Linked DNA regions of Nothobranchius furzeri. The protein of the gene in region 1 purifies or fractionates together with the protein of each later gene. This does not show direct contact. Links are inferred from orthologs where the notes say so. Each region holds a gene or a part of one and is shown in the gene's direction. Other genes may lie near its edges.

The links. Proteins that work in one complex are often made in the same cells at the same time.
Region 2: the proteins of tubgcp2 (region 1) and mzt1 purify together in Homo sapiens (affinity purification with mass spectrometry; 4 studies listed by BioGRID and IntAct, counting the BioPlex papers as one, with this or other methods). This does not show direct contact. The link is inferred for Nothobranchius furzeri from reciprocal best matches to the Homo sapiens genes TUBGCP2 and MZT1.

Annotation. Positions count from the first base shown.
Region 1 is NC_091756.1:50,614,300-50,618,474, forward strand, and holds the start of tubgcp2 (gamma-tubulin complex component 2), read left to right. Parts: upstream 1-1,357; 5' UTR 1,358-1,498; intron 1,499-1,789; 5' UTR 1,790-1,808; coding exon 1,809-1,958; intron 1,959-2,546; coding exon 2,547-2,675; intron 2,676-4,175. UniProt on the Homo sapiens protein: Component of the gamma-tubulin ring complex (gTuRC) which mediates microtubule nucleation.
Region 2 is NC_091752.1:31,536,089-31,539,259, reverse strand, and holds mzt1 (mitotic-spindle organizing protein 1), read left to right. Parts: upstream 1-1,426; 5' UTR 1,427-1,663; coding exon 1,664-1,715; intron 1,716-1,855; coding exon 1,856-2,001; intron 2,002-2,162; coding exon 2,163-2,186; 3' UTR 2,187-2,651; downstream 2,652-3,171. Other genes in the region: bora (protein aurora borealis), read right to left, coding at 64-108, 226-304, 393-438, 570-676, 976-1,125. UniProt on the Homo sapiens protein: Required for the recruitment and the assembly of the gamma-tubulin ring complex (gTuRC) at the centrosome.

The DNA of each region.
Region 1 (4,175 bases):
GAGTATTCACCATTATTAAAACCGTTTAGATTTACAAGCATATTGTAGGTACCACAGAATATGATTGTAACAACCTGTAATGTTAGAAAGTAATGTTTTGAGTCACAAAAGATAATTTTATTAAAAGGACTTGATAAAGAGTCTTGTGTCTTCACAGGCGTATTGCTGTCTTGTGGATAAGTTAAGGATACTGTTCAAGGTCATAGATACTCATATCGACACCTCCGGGAAATCAGTGGATCCCAGGAAAGGCGGGATAAGAGCAGAACAAGGAGAGGGTGATGACAAATTTCATGCAAAAGCCAGCTTGAACAAGACTGTTTTCAGCTGCTTTTTAAGGGAGACCACTGAGTCCACTGATCTCAGGTTCAGGGGGAGAGAGTTCCAGAGTCTGGGGACCACCGCAGAAAATGATCTGGCACCTTTGGTTTTCAGTCTGGTGTGCTGCACAACCAGTAGGCTTTGGTCGCTGGACCTCAGGGACCTGCTGGGGGTGTAGGGAATGAGAAGATCACCAATGTATGATGGTGCTTGTCCATGTAAGGCCATAAAGACCAGAACCAGGATCTTGAAAATGAAGTTGACTGGCAGCCAATGAAGCTGGAGGAGAAGCGGGGTGATGTGGGTGTGTTTGGAGGACTTGGTCAGAAGACGAGCACAGGCATTCTGAACCACCTGTAGACGGTTCAGGGAGGTTTTGCTCAGACATGTGAAAAGAGAGTTGCAGTAGTCTAAGCGTGAGGAGATGAAGGTGTGGAGATCTGTCTCAAGTTCAGAGCGGGACAGAATGGGACTCAGCTTAGCAATGTTCCTGAGATGGAAGAAGGACGAACGAGCAAGACAACTGACATGAGAATCCAAGGTGATAGCTGGGTCAGCATCTTGTGGGGCTTAAAGGAGATGTATGGTTGGATGTCATCTGCATAAAGATGTTAGGAGATTCCTAAATAAATAAAATAACTCTCTGATACTTTAGCACAGGTCCTTGCCCTGTATTTGTGTGCTTTTGTCCTTGCATGATTGCTCCTTAAACAGGAATCTGTCACATCAAAATCAACCTTTTTTTGCTGATTAACTGTTTAATTGAGTGTCTAATAGTGCTGTAGACGTGTAGCCTTTATTATTTTTTTTTTTGCATTTTGGCACATTGTCTTTAAAAAGGTGCTCACTGGATCTGTCTGAGTCCAATAACTTGTTCCCGTCCGACTGATGAATCCCTGTAGTGTCTGTTTCCAGTAATTGTTTTTTTCTATTGAACCATGCAGCACTAGCCAGGCAAACCAGACTAAATATATTATTAATGCAGCCCAATACTCACAGAACAACCTAGTGTGTACCTATAGGGGGCAGTGTGGCGCCGCAGATGTGTGAATACTCAAACGAAGAAGAACAATTTGAGTGTTGTTGGGCGCGTTTGTTATCAGCGCTATTGTTTTGTTTTTGATACGTTCACCAGATATTACGCTGACTGCAGAGTTTGATTACACCTTTCATGTAGGTTAGAAACCTTGTGTTGTTACATTTGCCTTTTGGCTAAGCTACACACAATGTAGCATCATCATGTAAGCTAGTTAGCAACTAGCCTTTAAAACGCGACATTTTTGTTTCTCATCGCCACGACAACAAGCTAATAAGTCTAAAATCGTTAAGTGGAGATGTATTTATTATTCTACGCTTTTTCGGATTATTTTTGGTACAAATCAGCGGCTCTAATTTCAGTTTGAATGGCACCATTGAGCTAAGACGTTGTCTTAGTTAATTTCTGATTTGCTTTAACTAAAATCACCAGGCGAGCTGCTGTCTGAGCTATGAGTGAATTCAGGATCCACCACGACGTGAACGAGCTGCTCAGCCTGCTGCAGGTGCGAGGAGGTGATGGAGCAGAGGGGTACATCGACTTACTGCAGAAACACAGGACTCCTTATGTTACCACAACAGTCTCTGCTCATAGTGCTAAGGTGGGAACACACACACACCAGGCATGTTAAAGTCCTTGATAAAAGAACCTCAGTAAATGATATCACTTTGACAGTAATTGGTACTGAAACTGAAAACAAGGAAAATATGATCCATATTTCAGAGAATGCTGATATTCAATACCCGATTTATCTTATTTCCACTAAAATGGGCCCCAGTGTTTACATTTACAACTCTAGAAGACGATTGTTGAATTTCATTTAAATAAACTTGAAATAAAATCTCTATGCTCTTGTAAACAAGCTCTTATAGTTGTCAAATGTCATACACATTTCTTTATGGGATTTAGTCAAAATACAAAATTACAAAAATACTAAACTAGCTAATTTTTTTGCAGGTTATTTTTAACCTCTTCTTTCATTGGTCATATGTCTTTGGAGAAGTTTATACTCAACAAGACCGACCGAGAGCCTTCAGTAACCAGCTGACAATAACACTACAGTGGTTTATCTCCTAATTGTACCACATGTGCATAAAATGGCTTTAGGTTAGGTAGAGCAGTGATGAGGAATTTTATCACATATGAACTCAGACTTTTGCTTTCAAATGGTCTTTTGTATCATTTTCAGGTGAAATTAGCTGAGTTTTCCAAAACCCCTGAAGACTTCTTGAGGAAGTACGATGAGCTCAAATCCAAAAATGTTCGCAACCTCGACCCTTTGGTGTATCTGCTCTCCAAACTCTGTGAGGATAAAGAGGTAATGCTTGAAAATTCCGTTTGTTTGGATAAGGGTTAATTCACTGGTATGAAGTTTTGTTCCATCCATCCATTTTCATCCGCTTATCCGGAGTCGGGTCGCGGAGGCAGTAGCCTAAGGCGAGAGGCCCAGACTTCCCTCTCCCCAGCCACTTGGGCCAGCTCCTCTGGGGGAATCTCAAGGTGTTCCCTGGCCAGGTGAGAGACATAGTCCCTCCACCGTGTCCTGGGTCTACCTTTAGGTCTTTTCCTGGTTGGACGTGCCCGGGAAACCTCACCAGGGAGGCGTCCAGGAGGCATCCTGACCAGATGCCAGATGCACCTCTACTGGCTCCTCTCGATGTGGAGGAGCAGCGGGTCTGAGCCCCTCCCGAATGACCGAACTTCTCACCCTATCTCTAAGGGAGGGCCCAGCCACTCTTCTGAGAAAACTCATTTCGGCCGCTTGTATCCGTGATCTCGTTCTTTCGATCACTACACAAAGCTCATGACCATAGGTGAGGGTAGGAACGTAGATCGACCGGTAAATCGAGAGCTTCGCCTTCTGACTCAGCTCTCTCTTCACCACGACAGACCGGTACAATGCCCGCATCACTGCAGATGCAGCACCAATCTGCCTATCGATCTCACACTCCAGTTTTCCCTCACTCGTGAACAAGACCCCGAGATACTTAAACTCCTCCACTTGGGGCAGGACCTCATCCCTGACCTGGAGAATGCATTCTACCCTTTTTCGAATCAAGACCATGGTCTCAGATTTAGAGGAGCTGATTCTCATCCCAGCTGCTTCCCACTCGGCTGCGAACCGCTCCAGCGAAAGCTGAAGATCACGTTCTGATGAAGCCAACAGGACCACATCATCTGCAAAAAGCAGAGATCTGATCCTCAGGCCACCAAAACGGATGCCCTCCTCACCTTGGCTGCACCTAGAAATTCTGTCCATAAAGGTTATGAACAGAATCGGTGACAAAGGGCAGCCTTGGCGGAGTCCAACTCTCACTGGGAACGAGCCCGACTTACTGCCGGTGTCGGTACAGGATCTGCTCGGGTGCTGGATCGGCTCGGGGTCCTTTGACTGCCGATGACGTCACATTACTGCAAATCTACTTGGCTTTCAAACATACGTTTTGGAAAGACATCAGCAGTTTTGTTAATAAATTCTTGTTTGTTAACACCTAAATGCTTTCTTTATAATTGTAATTTGTTAATAAAACACCATATTATCTTTGTTTTGTAAAGAATGTGAAACTGCATAAAACCAACATCGACAAAAAATAGAACAGTTCTTATATCTGTTTGTATTATCTGTATTATATCTGTTGTATCTGCCATATCTGTTTGTATTAATGTGGAGTTCGTATGTATATTTCCTTAGTTGTTATCTAAATACATTCTTTGACTCAAAATATTGCTTGGTGTCTTTCAATAAAGTTCTTATATTTTATTTTGCTCCATTTCATCAACATCAAGAGCTCTTGAGGGTCACCGTTTATCATTTGCT
Region 2 (3,171 bases), on another chromosome or scaffold:
ACATGTACAGGCTTGTGTTCATAAGAAGAAAGATCATCCACTTCTATAAAAAAGAACACCAACCCGAGACTGTTTTTGTCGCCTCTGAAATTGTTGCAGACCCTGGGCCTAAATGTCAAAAGACAAAAGCAGAATAAAATAAACCAGCACGGATTAAAATGTGCAAAGTCCAGGTAAATCTAAATTTAAGACTTAAACAGTAATATAAACAATAAAATAACACACTTTTATTGTACAGGTGAGGGGCTCTGCGGGTTTCCGGTGCTGCCCAGGGGGAAGGCACAATGGCTCCTTTTGTGAAAAACTTTATTGGAAGAAATCAAGCAACACATAATCAAAATAAAAGCTTATTTATGTTTACAAAACCAGAATAAGTTAGATTAATTCAATACCTGCTCAATAGCACTCTGACATTTTTCCTCAATGTCAGAATCAATCCTGAAATAAAGAAGAGCCGAGTTTTATTAATTAATTTCTGAAAGTCTTTCTTTTTCCCTGTCATTGTGCGATGGATTGAGTTGCATCAGTCAACGGTGCTTCCTTTAGGAATTTTAGTTTCAAACACACACCTTGTCTGGCTGAGGTAGAGAGATTGTCGCTGGATTTCCTCTGGGTCTATGTGCACTGGGAGAAGACTGGCCATTTCATCAATAGACCAGTTAAACTTAGAGGGAGTCTGCGGAAGAGACAGGAAATACATGAAGTCTATGTAAAGTTAAATGTTCAGGATTACGAAAATTTCTATGAAAAAAAATCACCCCTAACTTTGTATAAGTTATAATAAATAATAAAAATTGTATTATAACCCCAACAATAAGTTGATCATCTTCCAAATGATTGATCACAACCATTGTAAAAGGTTACAGGTTTGCTTATTTTTTCCATTTGGACGCCTACTATGAAGAATTAACGAACATTTCAAATTTTTTCACAGACATCCTGATAAATGTGGATCTGTTTTGTGTTCAGACTTACAGCCTTGCACGTCTTTGACTTGAAGACAGAGGGACTCGGAACCAGGGGTTCCCGCAGATGGTGGTAGTCGTTAGGACTCTCGAAGGGGTTCCTTATGGAAGACCTGCCTGGAGTTTCTGGTGTGATCTGGAGCTGAATGTGGTCCCCCATCTAGCCTAAAGTCGAGATAAAAAAGAAAACACTTCAAATGCAGAATTAACGAGGCGAAAATCGATCAAGTCAACAGTTGTTGTCGTTCATGTGATGTTAAGTTCGGTACGTTAGCTAAAAGAAAGGAAGCGGTCCACTCGCCATTTGTACTTACAACTTTGAAGATGCACGAATAATTCTGATCGAAATATGTGGAACAGGTCGGGGAAAAACATACAAACAGAAACAATTCAAACATCAATTTCAATTTCTCCTCCTAGGCCCGCAAGCCAATAGAAACGTTGCAGGAAGTGACGATTTTAACGTTATTTCCGCTGCCAGTTTTGACCGACGTGAGAATTTTGGTGAGGTTGTTAGATATGTGCTAATGTGGCTTACATGTTGTTTGCCCGTTTCTAATGATCGGGTTCTGTGACATATAAATACGTTAGCCATTATTATTATAATCAAGTTATTGTTAACTCGTGACGTCAGAGACACGCTGTTGGTTAGCCACTTCTCTTGCTAGGAAGCGTTAGCTAACCATCGTTTTATCACCATGGCAAGTGCAGCAAATGCAAACCTAAACGCAGTCCGGGAGACAATGGATGGTGAGTGTTTATTTGGCACGTAAGTGGCAGAACATGTAGTTTTAAAATACCTTCACAAACGTAAAAGCGCACATGCTTTGTAGCTAACTTCTAACCTTGTCACAGCAATAACATGTTTCATTATTGTTCTCGTTTAACAGTCTTGCTTGAGATCTCCAGGTTGTTGAACACTGGTTTGGACATGGAGTCTCTGTCCATATGTGTGAGACTATGTGAGCAAGGGATCAATCCTGAAGCCTTGTCTGCAGTCATCAAAGAGCTGCGGAGAGCTTCAGAGTCTTTCAAGGTACACAATTATTATGCATATTATTATTATGCAAGTTGCTAGAGTTCTGTTTGGAGCTTGGAGCATCTTCAGTGTTTCCCAAGAACACATTCATTTGCAGACTTGCTAAAAATGTCAACTTGTTAATTGATGGACAACTATATTTATTGTTATTCTTTCAGGCTTCTGAGAACTGCACAAACTGAAGACAGAAGACAGACCTCAAATGTTTGAAACACTCATCGGGATCATGCTCTGATCTGTTTTGGCACTTTTTTTTCTGTGACTTCTGCGCTGTCCTGTTCTGTACTTAATACATCTTTGGCCTGTGTTCGGGGCTCTCTGTAAAAATAGCACCATCTGTCTTATTTTGAACATAAGTCACATGCTTAAAGTGATGTATGCTCAGTCCATCCAATTTCATATTTAGCCATACTCCTGACATGCTTTTGGATGCGGTGCGATGCTTAGTCAGCAATGATATCTTGCTGTAGTAATAATTTTTAAAAGGAGAAATTTAATTTTCTATTCCCTTTTGTCCAACTTCTATGGTTTTTCTTGTGTATATAGTTAGTCATTTAATTGAGTTTTTTAAATAATATTTAATTTTACTTATGAAACTGGGTTTTTGTTGTTTCACTAATTTGTCTAAAATAAACTTGTCAAAGGTGGCCACTAGGTGGTGGTGTGTGTTTCTATTCAATGAAGTTAACAGGTGTTGTCTGAATAAATCAAGCAGTTATAACTTTCCAGTTTTCCTGAGAAAAGTTTATCTAATAAAGAAATGTATAGTTTGATAAAATGTGTGTTGTGGGTGTTTAGACTGCAAAGTTAATAAAAAGTAGTGATTTGCTAAAAGGACACGATCTTTCCTGTCAGACTAGGTGAAATAATGAGCAGAATGGTACACTTTATAATAAACAGCCAATTGTTGAATAAACACAGCTAACAATACTTCACAACAAAGGAGATCTGAGCAAAGGTCACTTAACAGTAGGATGTCCTGTTGATCTAAAGTCTTTTTTCTGATGTGTCTGAATTTGTTCCACAACATTTTGAGATATAGTGCAAGACTTGACAAAAACACATCTTTGATCTACTTGTGGGGAACGGGGGCTTGATCATACGTCTAACCAGGCAGCATTATTTTGTTTCTCTGCAGTCTGTAACAAAACTATTCATCTCCCAGAC